2 linked regions of the Styela clava genome follow. The protein of the gene in region 1 purifies or fractionates together with the protein of each later gene. This does not show direct contact. Links are inferred from orthologs where the notes say so. Each region holds a gene or a part of one and is shown in the gene's direction. Other genes may lie near its edges. The genes, in order: transcription initiation factor TFIID subunit 1-like and transcription initiation factor TFIID subunit 6-like.

Region 1 (13,284 bases):
GTATATATAGACATTTTAATAATCAAAGTTATTGTTTTTTCATGCAGTTTGCCGCCATGTCGCATGGAATCATGATTTATGACACATGCACTTGATACACATCATAAATGATTCAAACATAAGTAAATGTCATTATTACAGTGTACAGTAGATCTATATAGATCTTCTGAACCTAACTACTAGGGCTAATAGAAATTTTTCATTCATGTATCAATAACACCAGTGAGTTTTTGCCTTTCAGTGAAATCACAGTGCTTTTGCCTTTCGGTAAGTGTGTATTAAGTTGGTTGGAATCTTTGGCATAGATGAGGACAAAAAAATAAAAACTGTTTAATTTTCAATCGATGCATTGTTTGATAGTATGTGCATGTTAAATGATCAGTTTCAAAGTATATTTTATATGACCATGTTTTGTTGATAGTTGAGATTATTCGAACCATATTCCTTATTATTTTAAATTGAAATTCAATTTATTGGTGATCATTGATTACATAAAGAAACACATTTCAATGATCACTATAATTTCAGCTGTTCGCCAGCTTAATTAAGCCATCTATGCCTTAAGCAACACTATAATCTAGTGCCTCATGTAAATTTCCTTGTGCCACACCATAGGAATATGATATTAAGGCAAAATCCCATCCCTGCATAAAGTGCAATATAGTGGAAAACCCATTGCGAAGTAGCAGCCCAGTATTCATCATCAATCACAGATGTGCATCAGAGCGAAACGAAAACGTAGCAAAAATGTGGCAATGAATCAAAAAAGTAAACAAGAAAATTTGCGAATGAGAGCGTTTTATAATCATAATTTGAGCTGGTCAACGGCAAAAATTCATGAACTTAATATTTTGGTCCAGGGTTGCAAACAAATATGGCAATCAATTCACACACAAATCATAGGGCAGTAAAAGGCAAAAATCACAGGCTCTAAGATGCTTATACAAAAATAACAGATAATAATTGCATCAGCATTCAGCGCAGTGAGAGAGGATTCAATTTCTGTGATCCATAATCATTTAATTAATATCAAAACAATATAGGAAAAAGAGAAATGTTGTTGAAATTGAACCGATAGAAATTCCTTCATTAATAAACAAATTGGTATTTAAATACACCTGAAAATTGTCCGGCAAAACAAAGAAAACAAAGCCAGAATCCAAACTAAAACACATAAAGAACATATTCAGCGATTGGCATTGCACCAAAGAATAACCAAAGTAAAAAAAGGTGGAATACGAAAAATATCAAAAACAATATCAATTTTTATGCTTCGTCAACCAGAATATAACTAAACCAGGATACAGGAATTAACATAAACAATTTAAGTATTAAAAAATTTATATAGAATGCATCAAAATGTGTGTAGATAATGACAACTGTTTTTGCATTGAAAAATTTTAGTAAATATACCTTGGCGTATATTATCAAATGTCCATTGATCGTTCTTAAAAAAGGGATGTTTTTTGATATCTTCAACACCTTTTCTACCAAGTCGACGGTCACTGTGAAAAAAATAAGCTCAATGGTAATCATACATAAATTAGAAATATAAGAAAAACAAAATATAGTACCGGGTGAGAGTAGAGCGCACTGTTTAATAAGATTTCTCCAAAACTTCAATTTATGACTTAGAGTGTTTCTGTTCTCATTCGGCAAAATAAATTGAATTCTTAATAATATAACACTTAACAATACTGATGATAAAGCCATTATGCCACTGGGATCGTGCATATCTACTCTGAAACAATTAAAAGTACTGTAAAAAGTACAATAAAATTACAGTATAAGTTATGATAAACTGTCCTAATATTTCGTATAAGGTAGAATCCTAGCCACAGCAAAACGGTGTTCGTTCGATGAAATTGATGAAATAAAATATGACTTATATCCATACTTTGCTGCACAATGCACTAAATTTGCATACATACCTAATAAACCTATTGAGGATTATATCAACTATTCACATTAAAGAATCCCATTCAAGCAACAGTATATACCGTGAATAAAAATATAATTTTGGGGTTTACAAAACCAATTCATGTACCTGTCTGTGAGAAATCCGCATATTAATTTCTTAGCATGATCCGACATGCTGACGTCATCAGGAAAACTCAATGAATTTTTGTGATCCATAATTTTCCCGTAAGTTCCGACAAGAGAATCGGCATAGAATGGGGTGTCACCAACAAGCATTTCATAAAGAAAAACCCCAACCTAACCAAATAAGAAAAGCGAGATTAGTTTCATATATCAGAACAAGTATTTTAAATGTCCCCAAAAATAATAATTGATCATGGACAAAATAATGGAGCAATATGGCAATTGGGTACATTGAGCTAGATTAATAAAATAATATTTTAAGGTACAATATTACAAAATTTGTTCTTCTGGGTGAATGGTGTATAAACATGTCAAATATATAAAATAAATGCTTAGATTGTATGTGAAGTATGCTGCATTTTGTTTTATGTTGTGTATACCCTATACTGGCGAATTTTTTTCATTTGTATTCTGTAATATTCTAAATGCTATACGATCCATTTTATCGTTTAAAAAAAACTATGATTATACACTGATAAAAAAATGAAAAGCAGATTCTTAGAAGATACATATAAATAATTTATTGAAAAACAAGAATCCGGGTCAATCGTGCAATCACTTACCGACCACCAATCGCATTCACGACCATAGTAACCTTTACCACCTTGTGATTGCAATACTTCAGGTGAAATATAATCAGGAGTGCCAACGGCTGTGTCAGAACGCACCATGCCCTCCTAGAAAACAAAAATAAGGGACTAGTCATAACACAATATTGATGTACTCTAATATTTCAACTGAAGATATTTGATGAATAAAGATAAAATAAATAATGATCATTGAGAGACTGAAATCATTGAAATTTATGATTCAATTATTTCATCATTACAGGTTAGTTCACCTTTTCACTAGGAAACATTTGAAGTAAGACTGGGGTAGTTTCACAAACAATTACTTGCATAAAAATTGACAATAGCTGTTAGTGAAGATGTTTCAAGAATTTAGTTATAATAAAATTAGTAAAAAATTCCAAATAAAAAAATATTTGAATTATACTTTTGCTGGAAAATCAAAGTTCATATCACTCATTTTTTGCCAAATTCGATTCATTAAGAATATTCAAAATTGATATTCTGAACAAAATTTTAAAATAAACAACTATGCAGACACAAATATCCCTAATTCCAATAAAGAATTCAATTTACTGCAGGTGTTTGAATAGTAATTATTCATTTACCTTGTCCATACTCATGCAAGTTCCAAAATCAGCAAGTTTTAAATGTCCTTGAGCATCCAGTAACATATTGTCAGGTTTTACATCCCTGTTGAATAAAAAAGTAAGTAAATTTATTACCAAAAGAAACGTGGTTAATTAAGGATACATATTGAGTGCTAGATTTATAGACAAATATAAAAAGTTACCATGCAATCCAATTAACAATAAAAACTGTTTTTCCTTCATTTACTGAAATAATTGTATGGATGACAGCATACCAACCACAAACACAAATATTTTAAATTTGTAAAATTTTTGCTTATTGGTGATCAATTTGCTGACAATGAAACAAGATAATAGGACAAGTTCCATAAACTAATAAGCATTATAATCCACAATAAATCGAATACATTCAAGATTGTATGCATTCAATTTAGTAATATAAGAAAATTTAGGTCAGTTTTATTTGTCATTTTAATCAAGTACTATCTGATGATCAAGATAAAAAAAATAGATTTCACTTAAATCAGGCAAGGCAAAAACAGAAAATCAATAATAACAACGATTAATTTATTTTTAACAAAACTAAATTCATCGTTCATTTACTATAAATTTTTATTGATTTATGCCTCTCTTGAAAATGACCCAATTTAGAATGTCACAATACTTTATATTCCAAAATATTAGTACGAAGTGTATTTAGAAAAGTTGAATTATTTTAATTTAGCCACCGTAAGTACAAGCATGAAATAACTTGAATTGTACTTGGAATGTAATTATATCACAAGATATATAACTAACAATAGGACAATATTGAACAACACATCTGGTATGAGTCTATTTGTAGTTCACGGTTGAATATTGACAATTTCTATCAGAAAAGCAGATAGTTGCTAATTAGTAAATTCACATCACATTAAGAAGAACAAATTATAAATAAAATATTATTGATAATATCATAATGCAGTCTGAATACAATCAAACTAATTAATTTCGTAATTTAAGTTATCCTAATAAGTATATACAAAAACTATTTCACGTTTTTGAATTATATATTTCCTGACACAATCCAGAACATTATATTTATGAAGCATGATTTGACTTAAAGATTGATTATTATTGGCAATGTGCCAAGCCAAGCTATGATGAGTGTTCATAAATTCCGGTTACAATTTCAAAATAGTGGTATGAAGTCAGTTCTTAATATATCTTATTAACCAGGTTTGTTTTATTTCAATCAGTTATTTAGTTTTTTAACTTACTATTTTATACACCTTTATTTATGCCGACCATCATTTGCACGGAGCATGTTAAAGTTCTTTTACCTATTTTAATACAGGCTTCATGAACTCTCTACATCACCAAATAAATGCCCGGAATTGGGTTTTATGGAAACAACTGTCAAAGAACCCTTAATATGAGCCTTAGATCTATTAATAGGCAATTTCCACCATACCCAATACTTTTAATTACCAATATTATGGTTCCATATCGCAATAAAATATCATAATGATTTGAAAGTTGGATTACGTCATGCAGTAATACGTATAAACTTCCCATAGGACACACAACGTTGTAACAAGACTATTTATTATACATGCAATATACAATATCGGGCACGATGGACTAAATAATCAGCAGCTTTATGTTAGCCACAACAGTGGAGAAGTCATCAATATTGAATGAAACAGAAAACTGGCCAGTTTTTCAACTGGCAATATCTATTGTACAATTTTGTTTTAATAAATGTACTCAAGTGACTAAAACAAATAATAAATTTTATAATAAACTACAATGTTTGTGATTGTCGACTGGTCTTCAATAACGAATGTTTTTAAAAAATTATATATTACACAATTGAACTACCGGTACATTATGAATGGTATTAAATATAAATAACAGATTATAGTATATTATATTCAGAGTCCCTCCTTTACCATATGATTCAAAAATGAGATTGCATGAAACAAAAATGATTTGTTATATCACTGCTAACCTGATGACTAAAAATAAATACTGGTAATATAAAATACAAATAGAACATTTAAAAAAAAGTTATAGACCGAACTTTAAAGACAGTTTATCCATAGGATGTGATATTCCCTATTCAAATCACAAAAATGTTGTATTAGAAATACCAGAGTTGGCTAAATTTCACCAATACCACCCTAAGAACAATTTGGAATAGTGGAGAATGTTACTATCGATGAAGTTGCAGAATATTTGATAACATTTTCCTTCAGTAAAGTATATTCAAGTTTGTTATTTAAAAAAAACATACTCCCATATGCCATATCACATCAGGTGAATTAAATACAGCAAAATGTATGAAAACATTCTGATGTGTGGTATTAAAGGGGGATAGGTGTTGCACAAGTCTAATATATATAAAATATATATATACAAGAATCAATTCGTAAAGTTTTTATGCGGAAATATCAGAAAAAAACGGGTACTCCTGTAGTGTGTGTACCAGATTAAGGCTATGCCTTAATAATTTTATTCCGATTTTCCTTATTTTAGTTCTATTACGAGTCTGGGACTGTCTGTGTTAGTCAAGTGAATATGAAATAGACAATATGAATATAGACTCTCTCCGTTATGAGTCGTCAGTAAAAAAAAGCTTAATTAGTTAGATAACTTGCCTGTGAATGAATCCCATATTGTGTATTGATTCAAGGGCAAGAACGACTTCAGCTGTGTAAAATTTTGCCCATTGTTCAGGCACATCATAATTAGACATGAGATTGACCAGATCTCCACCAGGCATAAACTCCATTACCATATAGAGGTATTTATTGTCTTGAAATGAATACTGCAAACGCACGATCCAATCCGTGTTGGCGTGTGCCATAATGTCTCTTTCCTCCCAGAAGAAAGCAGATTCTGATCTTTTGATCTATGGAGCATTATAAAAGGAATATACCGAAACAAAAAATTATATAGATGATTGTCCATAAATTTAGATAAAACCAAAGTGGAAGAATGTCATATTTACACACAAACACAATTCACACACAATTTGGACACGAAATGCCGATAAAACTGCGAAACTTTCTCAAATATAGTAAGCTAAAATTAGAATGTGTGGTTCAACATGATAATCAGAGCAGTCATAACAATTGTGTTGCCAAGTACTTTCCATGATAACAATGCCAATATTTTATGTGGTAAGGTTCATGTCACTTGAATAAACATATTTTACCAAATGAAGATTTTATTATTAAGAAATAAATATACCGCAAAGCAATAGTAGGATATACATTGTATTTAAACACAATTGTTTCCATATTTTTCAAGTGTTTTATAATTATCCATGAATAAGACTGATCAAAAACAAACAAGGGTATAATTTAACAAACTCCATTATCGACATGCGTTCTTGAATAACTTCACCAATGACACAACTCACCATTTCAAATTTGCTCAATAACTTCATGGCATAAACTTTAGAAGTGGGTTTGTAACGAACGAGTTGAACTTCACCAAAAGCTCCTCGACCGATTGTCTTAACTACTGTGAAATCAGAAGCTCTCATCCTTATTTCATAAATTTTCTTAACAGGATGTGCGTCTGGAAATATAAAAGTTTTTTTTGTTGAAATGACTCTCACTTTGTACTCTCATCCGCAAAGCAATACAAATGAGAATAAGACACTTGACTCATTTATACAGAACTTGACATTTATGGAAAATATATTCATAACAGATTGCTGAAAAGGATAGTCTTTTTATTCAGCATTTATTTTGTCAAAGTTGGATCAAAGTTTTCCAAACGGATCTAATGCTCATAACTAAATGATTAGTTGAATTAAATACTTACATCTATTTAAAAAATTTTCCACATTCTTGTTCCTTCTCAAAGCAGGAGTGTCTAGATCCGTAACCAATGCAACGATGCCATCCTATGAAAACAAATTGAAAAATTAGAATGAATATCAAATACAATTATCAGTATAGGAGATAAAATATCCAGTTGACTACGTTAGTGAATTTGTCATATGGCATTTTGCCTAAAATAGTTTGACTTGGATTATCGTGTTGTTGCACAATATTTACTACCAATAGGCAATAGTGCATACCATTTTTTGCATTGTGTATAATGTTGTTTTTCCATCTAGCTGATTGGAGAATTTGGTTGTATTAAGGTTGTGTGATGATTACTTTCAATAGTTAAAACTGAATTAAACCCAGTTGGTTATGCTTCTTATGTGAATTTTGTATTTACAAGAATTTGGTTATGTGTAAAATACCAGTTAATCAGACCTTCAACAATGAGAAACAGCAAACTCCACAGAAAACTATGCAAATTCACTTATATAAAGAGAAAGACAATCCCACAAGAAAAAACTATAGCACAGAAGTATAATATATTAAGATATAGTAAGATAATATATTGTAAGTTTCAACTACAAGCATAATACTGATTTGATACCATGCCAAACCATGGATCATTTAAGCTAAAACCAGAAAATTATCGACAAATTCTGTAACATTTATACTGAAATTTTCAGCGATTTCATTTTTGATAGGATTGACACGTTATGTAGCCTATATTCAGAAAAGTGGTTGTTTATTTTAAGGCTTAATCAGATAATTATTACTGGTATTTATAGTAGAACCATGTAAAAAAAAAGACAAACCACAACATACTATTTTTAAAATAAGTTTGTAAAGTATTACTATTTTGTGTGTCAAAAGCTCTGATCTAGAAGGTTTTTTAATACTATTTCTAAAACATATATATATATATATATATATATAAATACAGGATCTCAAGTTGAAATAAAGTGGCTCAAAACGGGCAAAAACGCAAACTTCAAAAAGAAAGAAGTATAATGATACAAGCATATATTTACATTGCCATTGAACAACAACAAGTTGTTAACAGGTGTGCATGAATACCACAAACAGGTTAAAATAATTTAGAAAATGTATTAAACTAACTGTCGTTTCAGTGCAATAAATATATTATAATAACCCTAGCTTGTGGTTAGAAAGTATAATCCATAATATTTTTTTGAATATGTTACTGTTGGTCATTATATAAACTCCATAGTAAAGTATCATAGCAGTTCCTAAGTCATAAAGAAGGTCTCAACATCAAATTGAAAGATAAAATGTATGGCTTACATTGCATTAATAATTCATTATAATTGTGACTTTGTTTATAATAGAAAACAATACTAATAATTCCTTTTTTGAATAAGAAACTGGAAGAACTATCAAACAAACTACCATAGTTCAACTGGTATACAAACTGTTTTATTTAATACAAATTATCCAATGTTAGGTTAATACTTTATTGTATGAAATATGAATAATTGAATTTGAAAAATAAAACTAAACTAGAGAAATTAATATAAGAATGCAGTTTCAATGACCTATAGCCAGCTAAACATATACCAATTATTTAGTCCAAAATAGGATTGAAAAAATATAAGTCTTGTTGTATCAGCTATATCTTGTCAAAGGAAGGCATACCGAAACAACTTTACAATCAAAAATTAACATTTGAATAATTGGAAAAATCATCAGTATACCAGTATCAGGTAGTTTTATTTGGCAGAGTCACTTATTTTAAATGAAAAAGCCTTGAAATATTTTAGGATTTATAGCTATATTGTTACCAATTACTATCAACTATGTAGTAAAACCGGGTTCAATCTCATGCTCCATATTACATTTATAACAAAAATTTTCATTTGGCATTTTAAAAATTCACGGTTCAAAATTTGAAATAAAAATTGAAACAAAGCCCAAGTTCTGAGCCTAAGGACAACTAAATTATTCTGATTAACACCATAAAATTACAAAGAATTGATTGTGGAATTTGATCTCACTGCATAATTTAGTATGACATGAGCACTCAATTCATCACCTGTAGTAAAGCTGGACAATGACGTAATTGTGTGCCTTATATGCTTGAATAAATACATGTAGTCGAAAGTCAAATAAGTCTACAGCCAATATTAATAGATAAACCGTGCTGAATACTGTCATAATGGTCTTGGTAAGAATAGCATTATATAGTGTTGTACCTTTTTATTGTATATAACACAACAAATACCAGACTTCTTACTATTTGGTTTTTGTGGAATGTTATAATAAAAGCTAAAATATGTATGTTTGTTGATTCTGTATTTGCAAAATAGCATGAATATCATCATTTCAATGAATCTATGCATTATTTTAAATGATATTTATTTCTTTTATTTTTTAGAAAATTTACTTATTTCCAGTAAAAAACAATGTACTTTAGTGTCTCATCAACACATAGTCAATTGAGAAGCAAATAATTCATAAAACTCATTATTATAAAATCAGATGCATCAAGAATTCCACTGTATAGGTAATCTCCATTGGAACACTCAGTTGAAGATTATAACAACCATTAATCCCCAAATTGACATATTCCAAATTAAATCAATTTTCAATGATATACTATAAACCTACACACACTTAATCATTGGCATCAATTCGAGATGCCTTTGTGTGAATACCCATCAATTATCAATCAAAACTTCAATGATTAAGCACTTAAAAAGAAATGTTGTTTTTGAATGCAATAAATTTTTGATTCTGTGCTGAATACCAAAACCTTAAAATGCAGTCTGATATAATAGTCTACAAAAATACATGCCACATTTACTCATGCTAAGTTCCTACAAAGCAAAGTAGGCCAATTAAACTTTGTTTTATTTGGTTAATTATGGCACAAAGGAGGAATGGTAAAACTCTGTACAAAACAAACTGCTGTGAACTTTCAACTAGAGGTAACAATAAATAATAATAAAATGGAGAATATGAATAGAAGTACAATTAACATTGCGAACAAACTTGGAGGGTATTTGAGAATACAAAACTTTTCAAATGGCATGCATGAGCATAATTCCCTATACTGCTATTGGTCAAATCACAAAAACAATACTGTTGTGGACTGTGGTGGGTACCAGGATATGTTTGCTTGTTTCACCAAATTGACACGTAATCGTGAGTTTTCTATGCTTATTTACATGAAGTAAATCTGAAGTTTGTAACTCAAAGTATCCTTTCCCTATGTCCAATCCCTTATCAAAGAAAGTACAAATGTGACATGAGGTAAAGTATTGTGTGTATTAAAACACGAAACAGAGATGCAAATCATCTATTCACACAAAATTTCAATTGACCGAATTAATGAATTATGTCTAGACTGGATTCGGTCATAACTACCTTAACATTATGATATGTCTTCACTTTCTCTAACTATGGACCTTTCCCCGACCTTTGACCCCCGGAAAATTCTTCCTATACTTTACCATTGCAAAATTTTCGGGGCTATTTTAGGAGTGCTTTTGCGAGTTGGCGCATGTAAAATGGGGTATGTGTTTCAAACCATCCTTATGATTCATCGCATACAACAATCTGTTTTTTAAAAGTACCGGTAAAGAATTTCAGGCTAGTCTATCACAGCTATTTCTACACTAATTTTTATTACTGCAATTAAATTGAAACTCCTAGGAAGACAGAGTGATCATTGAATTATCGGATTTATATTTGAGTTTCCGAAACACAACTGAAAACTAACGAATAAAGTTCAGAAACGCGAAAACGAGGTAATGTTTACAACCACGCTTGAAAATCTGTCTGAGTGAGAAAAGTGTCTGAGCGGATGCGAAAAGGGGGCATTGTTACGTCACTTTTTGCATCTTGCTGATTGGCCAATGTCACGAAGTAAACAAGGAAGTCTATGCTCGGGGAAAGGTCCATAGAATAGAACTTCTTTAAATTTACAAATGCCACATATTAATTATTAACCCTATTAATATAACAATATTATGTATGCACATGTGTAATGCTTTCCTATAACTGCACAAATATGCTATACGCAAATATTCATTTTATCTTCTGAAACATTTCATTGAAAAAATGGTAATAACAGCAACAACTATAAGAACACCAAGTTTTAGTGTTAGAGTCAGATCGTACAAAAGGTTTATCTTCGAAATGAGACAACTGTAGCTGGATTGTAGATGCATACATATACAAAAATGTAAATCTTTGATTCGTTGGTTTCTAACTCAAAATTGAATTAAATAGAAATGAGGTCAGGTCAGTTATGAAATTCTGAAACCAGAAAGGGCAAGCGAACTAAAACTGAAAACTGCCTGTCAATTATTAAGTAATACACAAACATTTTATTTTATAATAACATACAATACAAACATAATGCTGTAATTAGGATATGTCAAATTTAAAATAAAAATAATACAAAAACAGTTAGTTATCTTACCAACAGTGCATCAACACTCAGTTTCGAATTTTCTTTTGCCACCATATTGTACAACTCCCTTTGCCTCTGATCAAAGTCAGCTTTCGCCATACTGCCGACTTTTCGCACCATCAAAAAGAAAAATGAATTGCCTATTGGCTTTGTTAATCCAACTTTAAGGAACGTCAACGAGATCTTTTCATATTAATAAGAGAACGATGTCAAGTTCCTTTTGAAATTCAATACGCTATCCTATTGTCGTCAAAAAAAAGTGAACAAGAGGCTGCAACTTACATTATATCATAGTAATCAGAGATCTGTATATTATGAAAATAATGGAGATACAATCGTGAGAGACGATAAAAAGGCAGAAAATGAGAGTGGACCAATCATGGAAATAGAGTACACACATATCCGAAAGTTGAATCAAAATTACAGCTGCCATTCAAATTTTACATACTTGCTTCTCAAAGAACTAAGGATAAAGAAATGACCAGGCATTTTATATGAAATTACATTGCACATCGTACACTACAGCACATCACTACGTCGGATTCTATTTATAATGAAAAATTCCATAAAAAGACATTCAGATTTATTTATTACTTATTTTGACACTGTTTTTATCTACTTTAGCACACTACTTCGCAGTTGTTTACGTTATTTAAATTATTGGTTTGCTTTAAAACTTCTTGTGTGAATAAATCCGAAACGATAAACACAGCCCAATCCAGCAATCATTTTCGTTTCGGCGTAAACAGTTATAAATTGAAACCCACCGCATCTACAGTTTGTTTGTTACACAAGTTAGATGCCCAAACGATAACACGTTCGTGTTTTTATCTTTTTTATAATATGTTTATGCGTGTGATATGGATAAACAGGCACATGTATTTCCACATGTTTTAAATCTTCCTAGAGATTTTGCCTGTTTTCCTGATTTTCCCATTATTCTGTATCCTGGTCATTATTTGCTCCGTGTATGTTTTTTGGGGAAATTAAAATAAAGTTATTAATATATATTATTATTGATATATTGATAGCCTACCTCACAGAAAAAAAAACGATAAAAACTTTGTGTTAATATAGAATAACGCATACTGCTGTACTGAGGCATTTTCCCAATCCTAGCGACTGAATGGATATCACTTATTTCTAAACATAAAATTTATCAAGCATTGAACTGCAGGATGAGAGCATGACTACTGGAATATGACACTAACCCTAATGCAGTTGACTTTAGGCTGCAACTTCAGACCTTCGAAGACCAGGTGATATATAGACTATAAATTTGTAGATAGACCTCACGCTAAGGCAGTAAGGTCTTAAAGAGGCACCAAATAATCTTTATTACTATTACAGTATTAGATTGAGCAGATAGACAAGAACAAAATAAACTGGAAAATCAAATTTCGGCTAGACTACGGTATTTAGTATCATACCATTTACCATCATATCATTGGCACGGCGGTGTGGCTCATCGTGCTAAGTGTTACTGCGTTAGGAATACGCTCGCCGCTGCACCTACTCTGGACATGCTAACATCTGGACATGGAATGATTCCGGACGAGAAGCCGTGGTTCGCCATAATATGGCTAAGCCGTTTTATCGTCTTTCCCCTCCCCTCGGATAAATACCGGCATGTAAATCCTATCCTACCACAGTTCTGCAGCTGACGGTGACTGGTGCCTTTATCAGTATTTTTACAAATCAAATATTTGAATGCTGATCAACTGTAAGACTGCAGGACTGTGTGTGATACCGTACTGCCG
Region 2 (13,023 bases), on another chromosome or scaffold:
AAAGGTGCCCGGGTTTCACCGAGTTATTCGTATCCGTCCCTCCTGTATTAAAGGTTGCGCACCCCTGTCCTAAACTATAAAACATCCTCATTTGGCAAACTTCCAACTCTTTTTTTTGTATCCACATTCTTTCGCGTAAAAGAGTCCTAGGCGGCATCGTGAGCTGTCGACTGTTATTGACTAACCTGACGGAACGACTTCCGACAACTTTACAAACGTTTCCACGACTCCCAGAAGCGTTAGATGAGAATGAATTTCCTATCGTTACGACTCTGAGAAAATCGGAAATCAGTTTAGGTGAAATGAAATTCAGGAACGCGATTTGTTGTATTCTCACGCCGGAAATGTATTCAATAAATATCAAATTCAGGAAACGCAACTTCTTGAAATGCTACACGTCGGAAGTATGGTGAGAATTGTATAAAATATGACAAACTTTAAATAAACGCTATGAAATAAGATGAATAGTATAAAATCTAAAATGCGATGGCAATTAAAATTCCCTCCACTGAAAAGAGCTACTGGGCAACCATATAAGCAGAATAGTATTAACATATTTATCCCGGGGGAGAGAGAAACGATGTGACGGCTTAATAATATGGCGGACCACAGCCTCTCGTTCGATTATCAGTCAATGTCGGGCATGGGTAAGTTAGCCAACAATCTTTTACAGATGCACGGACTTGATGGTGAAGAAATCTGTAACCGACCAGCAATTACTTGAACCACTCTACGGTGACGAGGAGTCCAGCAATCCTCTCCCGCACAGGATTCGAACCTGCGAACTCACGCAGGGTAACTTCTAAAGCCCAGCACCATGCGCAACGTCGCCAAGCCACAATATTTACACAGATCTCGCGTCTGAACTCATATTTAACGCATACTCAACTCGATATATACGCAATGTTTAAATTTAGTGTAATTTAATGTTATTTTCAACAGGTAACAAAATCAAATACAGCAGGCACGTATCCGTTCTCCGACTTCAAAAGGTGTTCAGGTTAGGAAGTATCAAAATGTCACGCTGTATATCATTGTCTGGGACATGAGGGTAAAATTATTGATTGATCAAACGACGCGCCATTGACTACTTTGGAAGTGTTGCAGGTTCGAATTCCGTGGGTATGATTATGCGCAAGAAGATATCGAGACGTAGGATTTTCGGATCTTTTGTACAAAGCCTCCGCGAAAAAAAAACACCCGCGTCACCGCTCAAAATTAAAAAATTAGGGACCTCCAGAAGTATAAGCACTAAGATGGCGCACAACCTGAACATAGTATGTGTACCAGGTTAGGGTTCAGGTTTTGCGCCATCTTGGTGCACATACTTCTGGAGCGCCAAAATTAGTTATCATCCAGTTAGGGTTAGGGCTATAGGTATGCATATTGCGATGGAAATCCCACTCATTCCTGACCCTAACCGGATAAGTAGCCTACTAATTTTGTATCCCAAAATGTTGCGGGAATGTTTTTCTCAAATTTCATATTTTTGCATTAGTGGTGGGGGCTTCGTACAAAAAATCCAAATTTTCTCGTCGCCACACACGTGTTCGCAAAGTCGCTGGTCAGGTTACGGCCTTTTCTACTGTTCAAGTTGGACCAATTGCTTGGATGTCGCCACCACCATATCTAAAATCTAAGGTAGTTTTCGCCAAAAGGTTGAATTTTTCTGTCGACTTATCTCTTTCTGGGATGAATACACGGATAATATATTATCCTAATATTTCAATGGACTGCAATTTGAGGCCAGAGGTCGTACATACTCAACTCGACAAAGTGTTTATATATATACTGCATATGCACGGTATCTTTAAATGTAGTGGTCCTTTATTGCTATTTTAACAGCCAGAAAATCCATGAACTATCTTGAACTACTGTATATGTATGTCTGAGGATGTTTGACCTTGGTCTGATGAAACGTTACAGAAATATATTTGTTTTAGTGTGTCAGCAAGACTATTGAATCACGTAGGACAAGCGTGTTGTTTCTGCTCTGCGACCGCCATACAGTGTTCAAGTTAGGAAGTATCAAAATGCCATGTCCGTGTGTCATTATCTGGGAATCAGGGCAAAATTAATGATTGATGAAACGACGCGCCGTTGATTACTTCGGAAGTGTTGAAGGTTCAAATTCCGATTGGGCGCAAAAAGATATCAAGACGTTGAATTTTCTCGTCGTCGTAACCGCGTTCGCGTATTCGCTAGTCAAATAACGGCCTTTTCTGCTATTCAAGTTCCATCTGGACCAATTATAGACTGGTAAACAAGTCAACGCAAATTTATTTTATTCAACCAGCGAAAAACAAACACATACAATAACTAAAAAAAATAGTAATCATACAATTTTATTTTGGCAGAGAAGTCGCGGGGAAACAAATCTAGTTATCGAACAGCGACACCGAAGGTTTCAATATCTAGTTAAAAGATCAGATAATTTAATTATAGAAATAATGTTATTAGCGGCGAGTACGGTGTGGGCAAGAAGGAGTTTTTGTCATAAGATTAAAATGTCGACTTTTCTCTTCCTGTGATAAGTATACGAACATCATCCTATCCTAATAATTCAATGTACTGTAATTTGGAGCCAGGGGTCGTGCGTACTCAAATCAACACATATCCCACTCAACTCAACGTGTATACATACTGAATATATACGTGATCTTTAAATGTAGTGTCATTTATTGCTATTTTACCAGTCGAAACATTGAATACAAGCATGTTTGTTTCTGTTCTGCGCAGTGGCATATCTAGGGTGTGGCAGGCATGGCTCATGCCATGGGCGCCGTTTGGATGGAGCCGCTAAAAGCGCGAAAACCTAAAATCGTAAAATGTTTCAATGAAATAATTCTAAATTGGAAATAATTTGAACTCATATTTTTACTTAATTAATAACGTACAAGTATCTAATCAACAACAGTCATTAAAACTTTTCCAGTCAACAATCAAGGGGGCGCATGTTTTAACTTTGCCATGAGCGCCATTTTACGTAGATACGCCATTGGTTCTGCGATCTCTATACAATGTGCAGGTAAGGAAGTATCAAAATGCCATGTCCGTGTGTCATTATCTGGGAATCACGCCAAAACTAATGATTGATCGATCGACGCGCCTTGATTACTTTGGAAATGTTGCAGGGTCAAATTCCGTCGGATTTTTTAGCGGATGATTCAATTGAACATCGTAGTTTGAAAATGAATTAACGCGATAGTCTTTAGGGAATAAAATTAGTATTTGCTGTTGTTGCTGGCTATTTGTTGTTATGACGCAGTGCTTCTAATTTTAAGGTTCGAATGACTTTAAGTTGAAATACGTAAACTATTAACCAAAAGCAGCAGAATGACTCAATATCCTATAAGTCTACTGCATTTGCAGTAGTAAACAAGTAAAGCAACACGCATAGTATTCATGAATTTTGTATTTAGTTGAAGAAGACGAACCAACGTAACTGATAACTGGGCTATACTGTTGAAAATAGGTATAATTCGTAAAAAATACAAATAACTCATCTGAGATTCCAATGAAACCCCAAATCTAATACTCTGGTAACCCTCACTAAGTTTCCCTCTTTCCTGCAAATATATTGAAATTTAGGTTCGTCGTTTCAAATTTCGCACAAGGCGGTCGTAAATATAGATTTTGTGTAACTATATAGATTTCGTGTAACTGCAGTCGTAACAATAGTGCTAGGCTAGAACAATAAAAATTAACAAAAATTAAAAAAAAGAACAATTAGCATACCTGATATCCCAGCAATAACAACAAATCTTATACTTAAATAAACTTGAGTTTTTTTTACTATGTAGTTGTGCCCTTGTTCTTTACTGCAATCCTATTCTTACTACTTTACCACTGTATTTTTGTTTATAACGGACACTAAAAACTACAGATGCATACAATAATTGGAAAACTCATAGAATTTGAAACACCTTTTTTTCTCACTTTCCTCACTCTTTGCGTAACTAATATCTCGCAATCGTTCGTCTGGAATGTTCTTTAAAAGCAACAACATGATGAAACTCCGCACCCCAAACCAAGCATAAAAAAAACTCGGATAAAGCGGAAATTTGGAAATTTAGGTTAGTCTTCCAAAATCTCGCACACGGGGGTTACTAGACGTAACTGAAGATTTTGAAATTGCAAGGATATCACATCAGCACATTAAAAATAGAATTGTTTAAATGCAAACTCTGGGATTTAAATGGAAATGTTCTTTAAAAGTAACAACATGATGAAACTTCCGCACCGCACACGAAGGATATACAAAACGCAAATTAAGCGAAAGTCTAGAAACACATCGTAAAATTCAGGAAAATACGACAGGGAAATGAAGGAAACTTGAAACACCAAACATTTGCAAATTCAGTTTCGTCATTTTAAATATCGCACAAGGTCGTAACTGAAGATTTTGATATTGCAGGCTATCACATTTGCGCCAATAAAAATGGACGAAAATTTGAAAAAGATGAAAATAACTAATCAGATATCCAAACGATAACAACAAACCTAATACTCAGATAAACTTGAGTTCTGTTTTTATGTAAATCTTTTCTTAAATCACATTCTCACTACGTTAACACTGTATTTTTGTGCAAACTGGGTTGTTTTCACCGGACCATAAAAACTACTGAGGTATACAATAATTGGAAGACTCCTAAAATTTGAAACACCTTTGCTTCTATCACTTTCCTCTGTCCTTGCGTGACTGATATTTTGCAATCGTTCGCCTGGAAATGTTCTTTGAAATAACAACAGGATGAAATCTTCGCACCGCACACCAGAGATACAAAACGCGAAAACGGAAATCTGGAAACACATCGTGAAATTCAGGAAGACAACATGCACAATACGACAGGAAATTCGAAGAAACTGGAAACACCAAACACTTGCAAATTTAGGTTCGTCTTCTTAATTAAATCTCGTCAAATGAGGCTACTGGTCGTAACTGGAGTTTTTAAAATCGCAAGGCTATCACATTTGCGTTGATAAAAAATAAACAAAAATTTGGATGGAAATACATTAGGAGCTAAAATTTGTGCATGTGTGTGACATAAGTAAATTCGGTTCAAAATATGTAAATAATGTATTAACGAAATAATAGTATATGACATGAAATTGTTAACAGTATACTCGCTAGTTATTAACGAAACCTAGCAGTTGACACAGATGAGGCTTTCAACGGCTTTTTATTAGGAAATCAACGCAGGAAATGTATAGTTGACGCATTTCATCAATTCGCAAGCGTTGCACTGGTTAATCGATTTGTTCTTCAGCGAGTAACAGGAAGTGCTGTTGCAATTTTCAGGTTTTCGAATGAATTGATAAAAATCAATTACACAAAAAAGGAAGAACGAAAAAAGTAGAACAATAATATAACCGAACTTTAATATGGCAATACTTACATTTTGTATTCGTTACTTTTCTTACTCATAAAACTGTTTTTCTGAAAGAGATAAGAGATAACTGCGTTAAGGTTTGCCTTACACGGGGCTACGAGTATTCTTGCATCCATCGTTGTGATTTTAATAACAACTTGAAATTGTGTAATATATAATTCAACACTTCTGTTAAATGATTTGTGAATAAAATTACGTTTACTAACTTTAGTGCTTGATACATTGCACAAAAAGATTGATTTTAGCACATTATATTTCCTCCGTAGGCTAATCCCTCTTGAGCATTTTTACAACTTTCTATGTAGGGTTAGACGAAGGAACGGCTTGTAAATAATATAAAATTCACAATCATTAACACATATATATCGATTTTATTTCGTTTATGATTTTATTTTCCTTTTTTTATTATTTTTGTCTTTTTATTAGCACGCTTTTTACAAATTTATTCAAAAATTGAAACAATAATTCTTAAGTAGATACGAATGCTTTCTCAGCGTGTCCTAATGGTGATTAAAGATATAAAAATATATTCTGTTGGCGAGTTAGGGTGGAATTACATTGCCGGAAAGATGGCCAGTGCAACTGTAATATTACTTGAACTTAAAATTGCCTAAAATTCCTACTTCATCAGATCAGTTTTGCCAGTTTGCCAGGTTCGTACCATGTCACGGTTACTCGCTCCCAACGATTGTAACATGCCCAAATAAATAAGGATGTTTTCCCAACCTTTGACCCCAGAAAGATTCTTTCTATTATTTACCATTTCAAGATTTTCAATGCCTATTCTGAAAGTGTTTCTGCTGGTTGTCGCTTGCTAACTGGCTTGTATATTGAAAATAAATATTCACGTGCACAGCTCACAGATACTAATAATTAATTTTAGTCTAGTCCATCGTAGCGTTTTTAAAACCAAATTCCTTTGTTGCAATTAGACTAAAGCTTTTCGGAAGACAGAATGACGATCAACTTTTTTGATTTACAACTGATTTTTGGAAAAACAACTAAAAACTGACAAATAACACGCAAAACGATGCAATGTTTACAACAATGCTCAAATATCTGTCTGAACGACAGAAGTGTCGGAGCGTCTTTACAGATTGCAATTTTGACGTCATTGTTGGCTTATTGTTGATTGGTCATTGTTACGAAAATAAACAGGGAAAACGATGCTCGTGCAAACATCCATAGAGGGCGCAGCAGCCGTAATTAGCAGGTTCGGAGGTTAGAGGTCAGATAATCACTTTATATTTTTTGAGTGAATTTGAAGCGTTTTTAGAACCCGGTGTTTTAGTTTAATTAAAATAAAGCGGCGATGGGGAAACTTACAGGCCTATACGATAGGACAGGTTAACAAAAAATTAGTATTCAGTACACAAGTAACACAAGTTGAAAGTCTGAAAGCATGAACAAACGCTACGGCCATGACGCGGATCCAACATACCGGTAACTTTCCTGCTTCCAGGTTCGGTACTTGTATCCTTTACAGGTGTTTGAATTTGGATAAGGACAAATATGAATTAAAGTAAGCTGTTCAATGGCGTTAAAACGGTATCGTGAGCAGGTTATCAATATCGGTACCGTACTCAACTGGCGGTCCGAATCCGGCCCTTTCGACAATTTGGACCGTGTCTGCTTGTATATTTTGGCAGCATAAGCATTGTTTGGTAGTTTTAGAGGATTTGATACAATTTAAATACTGGTACATAGGTAGCCTAGCTATAGTCTACAGTTTGTTGTACTGGTACCAATATGCGACATTTGTGTATATACAGATATATTTACGAGCCATCATTAGACGTTCGTTTATTTAATGAAAAAAATATTCTGTAATGTCCGGACCCCAATAATTCTGAAGTTTTCTAAACGGACCTTTGGGGAAAATAGTTGAGTAGTCCTGGCGTACCGTAACATTCCAACATCATTGCCATACTGCTGTACTGCCATAGCAGAATGGCCCAGGTTTACGAAGAAAAATGTTTTAGCAATATACGTACAGACATACCTGCATACCGGTACTAGCATCACAGTATTAGCGTATAGACTAACTGCTGAACTGTATATTATCCACTGTTATTTTTAACAGCATATTACTGTATTAGAGTATTTACATTATTTTAAATGGCTGATACAAGTAAACGAAGTGTGAAAAAAGAAAGCAAAGTTCGACCTGACAGATTTTCTGCGTTTTCATCAGAATCTGTCAAAACCGTTAGCGAATCAGCTGGTGTCGCTCGATTAACTGAAGACACTTTGTCATGCTTGGCAGAAGAGGCAACTTATAGATTGAAAGAAATTATACAAGTTAGTGATTACAATTCTTCTCATATTAATTTCATTGTTCAGCGTTTTCTAATTTTTAACTAAAACACTTTGAGAAAAATTACCATTAGATAGATTTTCATTATCACTTTGTTTTGACTACTTATAAAATTAGGTCTATGAATTTTTTATATTTTAAATTTAGTCTTTTCCATGATTTCCTTCCGTGAAGTTTTTTCCTATCTATTTGTCTATAATGGAGTTCTCTATATGAATCAATATTTAGCCAGTCTCTGTTTCCTTCACCCATGAAGCATGACCTAACTTTGAGAGAATCTTCTGGCATTCACAATTAACATCTTATGAAATTGAATTTAAACCAGATGACCAATCTCAGTATGACACTGTTCTCAGATTCCAAGAATAGCTCCCACATATCAATTATATCAGTGAGTGCAAACCATTCCTTAACGAGACAGTTTTTTTCTCCATATCGGCATAAATCGGCAAACCAACTTTGTGAAATAAACTAAAAGGTGGCGCAATCTAAAAATGTCACAATTCGATTCCCCGGAAAAACAAATAATCTGGTTCACAAAAGGAATAAAAACTTTACTGTAGCATTCGAGAGTTTTTAGCAGAAAAAATGGATTTTTGGTGATGTTTGATTATTATCGGGACAAGCATTGCACAATCTGATACATACACTCCTGTGCCATACCCCCTCGTTTCAGAGACATATAGAGTGTTTGTTTCATTGAACCAAATGTTAGGAAATCTTGGGATTGTAGAACTGTGCCCTACTGAATTTTAAGATACTGTGCTAAGCAATGTTCACTAATATTTACTTTTACTTCATTCATAGGAATCATTGAAATTTTCAACACACAGAAAATCAAAGATTCTGACGTGTAGAGATGTTGATTCAGCTTTGAGGGTATGCTTAAGTCGTTAGTATCTTGAGTTAATAAGTTAGAAATACATACTTTCAAGTTGTTCAAAAAATCCATGTCCAAAATAATTTCCAAGTAATCAGGAAGATAGGTTCGCCTTATGTGCTCACTTACATTCGTATATAAAAAGTTAAGGCTTCAAGCGTGTTCGCAAATATTATCTGTGGGAGGATGAAATAACATTGAAAACTTATTTTAAGTGTTATTATGAAAAGTGTAACACAAAACTTTGTATCCTCCCTTTTTATTAGCTCAAACCTTAATAAATAAAAATAAATGCAAGGGTTTGAAGGTGTTTCGCAATAGTTTAGTTCTAACAGTCAAACCAAAAATTAACATAACATACTAAAATTTAAACTGAAGCAAGTGTAGCTTTGAATTGGAACAGAGTCCCGGAAATGGCCCATGGTTTATACAAAAAAATCTATTTCTGAAAAATGTGGCAGATGCTACTTTTGTTTTACTCCGACAGATTGTTTATATGCCAGAATAACTGCGTTCATACTTCAATTGGAACAAAGACTCTCACATATTTTTTATTTTCAGTCAAAAAACATTGAACCATTATACGGGTTCGTCGCAGAAGATTATATACCATTCAGATTTGCCAGTGGGGGCGGTAGAGAGCTACATTTTGTCGAGGACAAAGAAATTGATCTTACCGAACTGATTAATAACCCTCTGCCACGAGTTCCATATGATATCGCCGTGAAAGGTAAATGTCTTCCTGCATGGACACTAGAAAACGTTTTGCTAAATTGTTGTTATTTGGACTAGAAATCTTCTTGATTAACTTTTAAATTACTTGGGGGAGGTGGAGGTGTTTCCTAGAATGCTATTGCATATATGCTTTCAAATTTTTTCTCAAGTCGTTGGTACTTGTTGTTTTACTACTAATTTTGACAAATTTATCCATCACATTGATTTTCTACAGATGGATTTTTATGCACTGGTGTAATATATTATGACCATCCAAACTATATTTGTGATAATTCTCTTCAAACAAGGCTTAGACAAACACCCACTATTACATAGGAAGTTGTGATTTTTTGTAGAACTGGAATATTTTAGTTTGGTTATTACTTTCTATCAATTTTTACAACTGCCAGCACTTTTAATAGCACAGTCCTGCACTTCACAGTACTGGTTTTGGTGAGATATTTGCATACTCTGATAGTGATGGGAATGATATTTCATGGTAATAGATATATTTTTGAGTTTCATTATTTAATATTCACTGCCCACAGGACCCTGGACAAAAACCAATCATCCTTTGATACATAAAGAGCTACAATTTATTGTAGAGTGAAATATTTTCAGTTTGATTATTTTCACTCATCACCATTCCCTGTATTTACAGCTCACTGGCTAGCAATCGATGGAGTCCAACCAAGCATACCAGAGAACCCAGCTCCAGAGCAAACCACTTTACTAGATGTCTTAAATAAAACAGAATCTAAACCTCTACCTGGTTCTGCTCCTTTGAAAAGTTCCATCGTCCCTGCAAATAATCCCTTGAAGAATGCAACACATGAAACTAGTACTAAGGACAAGGTTAGACTATACTTTTTTCAGAGTTACTTGAAACTTGAAACATCAAAACTTTTGCGGTGGCAGCATATGGGCAATGTAGAATATTATACTATTTCAAAAGACTTAAATCAAATGCAGAATACTGAATCGTATTCTATTTTTATAGTTATTTAAATAGTGGAAATTCCCCACCCCACCCCGCTTGATTAAAATAGTCCAAGACTAAACATTTTACAGGGTTGATTCATAAGGGTCGTAAAAATTTCTGTGATGGTAAAAAAAATATAAGATCTTTTTTATTATAATTTTTTACTGTTGTTGAAGAGAAACTTTTACAAAATAAAGTGGTAGATTCACTTATGGTTTCAATTGATAAAACTTTTACACTAATACAGTGGTTCTCAAACGTTGGTTGGGGCGTAGACAATTTTTTGAGGGGGCGTGAAGCTAATTGAGAATAAAAATATTTGCTAGGTTTGATCTTGCCCGCCAAATTTTACGTTTTGTCCACTTATTTTTAACAGACTTTTAATATACTTTTTCCCTACTATCTGTTATTTTTAACTTATTGCTAGCTAGGTATTTTTGTGATAGGGCACGAGACTAGACAAATTTTAAAGAGGGGCACGGTTTAATAAGTTTGAGAACCACTGCACTAGTATGTCATACATTTCCTAATATCCCAGTCCTAGATGTCTTCACTAGATAACCTTAGGTTTTAGCCAAGAATCTCACTTCCGATTTTTTTTATCTATCGAACCGAATTTTTTTTAAAACTGTTGCAGAAACGAGGAAATACTGAAGCAACAAAGGTTGACCTGAAGCCTCGATTTACTCACGAACTCTCTGTCGAGCAACAACTTTATTACAAAGAAATTACTGAAGCAGCTGTGGGATCAAGTGAAGCTAGACGTGCTGTAAGTTATCATATTACTTGGGCTATCTTAGGCTTCAAATCTGGAACCATGTGGACGAGCAACCACTGATAGGTTGGGGTTGATCACGGGGCCCACAGAGCAGTTGGAAGGGGCCACCATGTTGGGCGCATAACTGATTTTACTCTTCACAAGAAAACTTCCCATTCTTCCCATAGTTTCATTGCTTGATGAGGTTATTTCACAGGGTGTTTTCACTTCGTTGAGCATTGATTGTTTGAACGTAAAGTGATTTGGAATCTACCAATCATAATAACAATATAAATACCACTGGAATATTAAACAGGGGGTTTCGTGAGTGCTGAAAGAAATAATAAGATGGGTTTCCTTTACAGCGAGCCTAGGCTCTGGTGAAGCTAGACATGCTGTAAGATAGGATGGGATTTGGCACAAAGCCAGGCACCAAATTGATTTCACTTTCCACTTCACGGGAAAACTCCCCATTTTTCCTAGTTTTATTGCTTGATAAGGTTATTTCACAGGGTGTTTTCGCTTTGTTGAGCATGGATTGTTCGAAAATATTGGGATTTGGGATCTACTAATTAAAATAACACTATAATTATCCCTGGAATGATAAACAGGGGCCATGCCAAAACCATCTGGAAGGGGTTCAAAAATATATATAAAGATCATATAATTTTATCTGATTGATTCAATTGTGATCAATTTAATCTGCGATTGCGACAATATAAATAGCATCACTTCCAAAATACCACAACAATCTGTTCACATAAAAATGTGCCGTAAAGTGTTCGATTATATGTTGTTGCGAAATAACAAATCTGAGCTGTTCCTGCAACACGTATCCCGTTGGACCATGAGTCATAAAAGGTTGGGAACCACTGCTATAGCTGTTATAGCTGTTATAAGTATTTCTTGTGTTTCCTCCGTAGGAGAAATTCCTCTTCGATTGGGGAATCGTGGCATTAAGCTATAACTGTTATCTTATTTCTTTTATCAGGAGGCACTTCAGTCTCTTGCAACAGATCCTGGATTATCACAGATGCTTCCTCGATTCAGTACATTTGTCTCAGAAGGAGTTCGTGTCAATGTCGTTCAGAACAATCTTGCTCTACTTATTTATCTTATGAGAATGGTCAAAGCTTTGATGGACAATTCTACTCTCAACTTGGAGAAATATGTGAGTGAGATTAAGTTGAATTTACTAAACTGGTTGGGAATTTCAGGGAAAACACTTTAACCGTTAACCGGGTAAAATTAACTGGTTAACCGCCGCGTGACGTTTGACTTATTAATTTATAATTCAGCTCGTTACGTCACAATGCTTATAAAGTAATTTTGCGTGTTCTTATCTCGGTATCGCTCTAATTTATTCACGAATCGAGATAGTTACATGATTGCTCTGCTGCAAGAATAGGCAGCGTGGTTCGGGCGTGTGGAAGTATTTTAGAAAACCAGATTCCGTTTGATAAACGTCATTATGTCACAAAGTTTCAGTGTTCGATATGCAAATTCTACTTCGAGATATAATATAGAAAAACGGCATCAACTGCACACTTGTTGTATGACATTAAATGTACGATTTTGCAATGTCATCGTGAGAAAAATATTTTTTGAAATAGACCGAAAACTGATTCTGAATTCATCATCGTCAAATTTCCATAATCAACAATCTGTACTTCCATTATTTTTCACATTTATTGAGTCCTTACTCACACAGTCAGTAATATTCTTTTGAATTAAACGCAGCAAGAGATAAATTTGCGATGATGTAATCATATTTGAAAAAAATTGTAGAGTATAAGGATGATTTGTACCTGAGATGTCAGTTAACGGTTAAAATAAATCGTAACCGTTAACCATCTGTATAAAGTCAGACATCAGGCACATGTTGCTATACCGAAGTTCTGAATGGCCTCTGTAGACCAGCATGGCAGTATTTGTACCAAAAAGGAAAGCTTCAGTGGTTTTACCCACAATGCCATACCA

Evidence for each region.
Region 2: the proteins of transcription initiation factor TFIID subunit 1-like (region 1) and transcription initiation factor TFIID subunit 6-like purify together in Drosophila melanogaster (affinity purification with western blotting; 3 studies listed by BioGRID, with this or other methods). This does not show direct contact. The link is inferred for Styela clava from reciprocal best matches to the Drosophila melanogaster genes Taf1 and Taf6.

Annotation. Positions count from the first base shown.
Region 1 is NC_135257.1:9,178,094-9,191,377, forward strand, and holds the start of transcription initiation factor TFIID subunit 1-like, read left to right. Parts: upstream 1-7,223; 5' UTR 7,224-7,406; intron 7,407-11,533; coding exon of another isoform or gene 11,534-11,644; exon of another isoform or gene 11,645-11,830; intron 11,831-13,284. Other genes in the region: rho-associated protein kinase 2-like, read right to left, coding at 1,414-1,505, 2,048-2,217, 2,667-2,780, 3,281-3,365, 5,905-6,158, 6,672-6,832, 7,082-7,163, 11,534-11,644. UniProt on the Drosophila melanogaster protein: TFIID is a multimeric protein complex that plays a central role in mediating promoter responses to various activators and repressors. Largest component and core scaffold of the complex.
Region 2 is NC_135256.1:4,774,359-4,787,381, reverse strand, and holds the start of transcription initiation factor TFIID subunit 6-like, read left to right. Parts: upstream 1-7,480; 5' UTR 7,481-7,511; coding exon 7,512-7,694; intron 7,695-8,517; coding exon 8,518-8,589; intron 8,590-9,151; coding exon 9,152-9,320; intron 9,321-9,965; coding exon 9,966-10,159; intron 10,160-10,923; coding exon 10,924-11,055; intron 11,056-12,034; coding exon 12,035-12,214; intron 12,215-13,023. UniProt on the Drosophila melanogaster protein: TFIID is a multimeric protein complex that plays a central role in mediating promoter responses to various activators and repressors.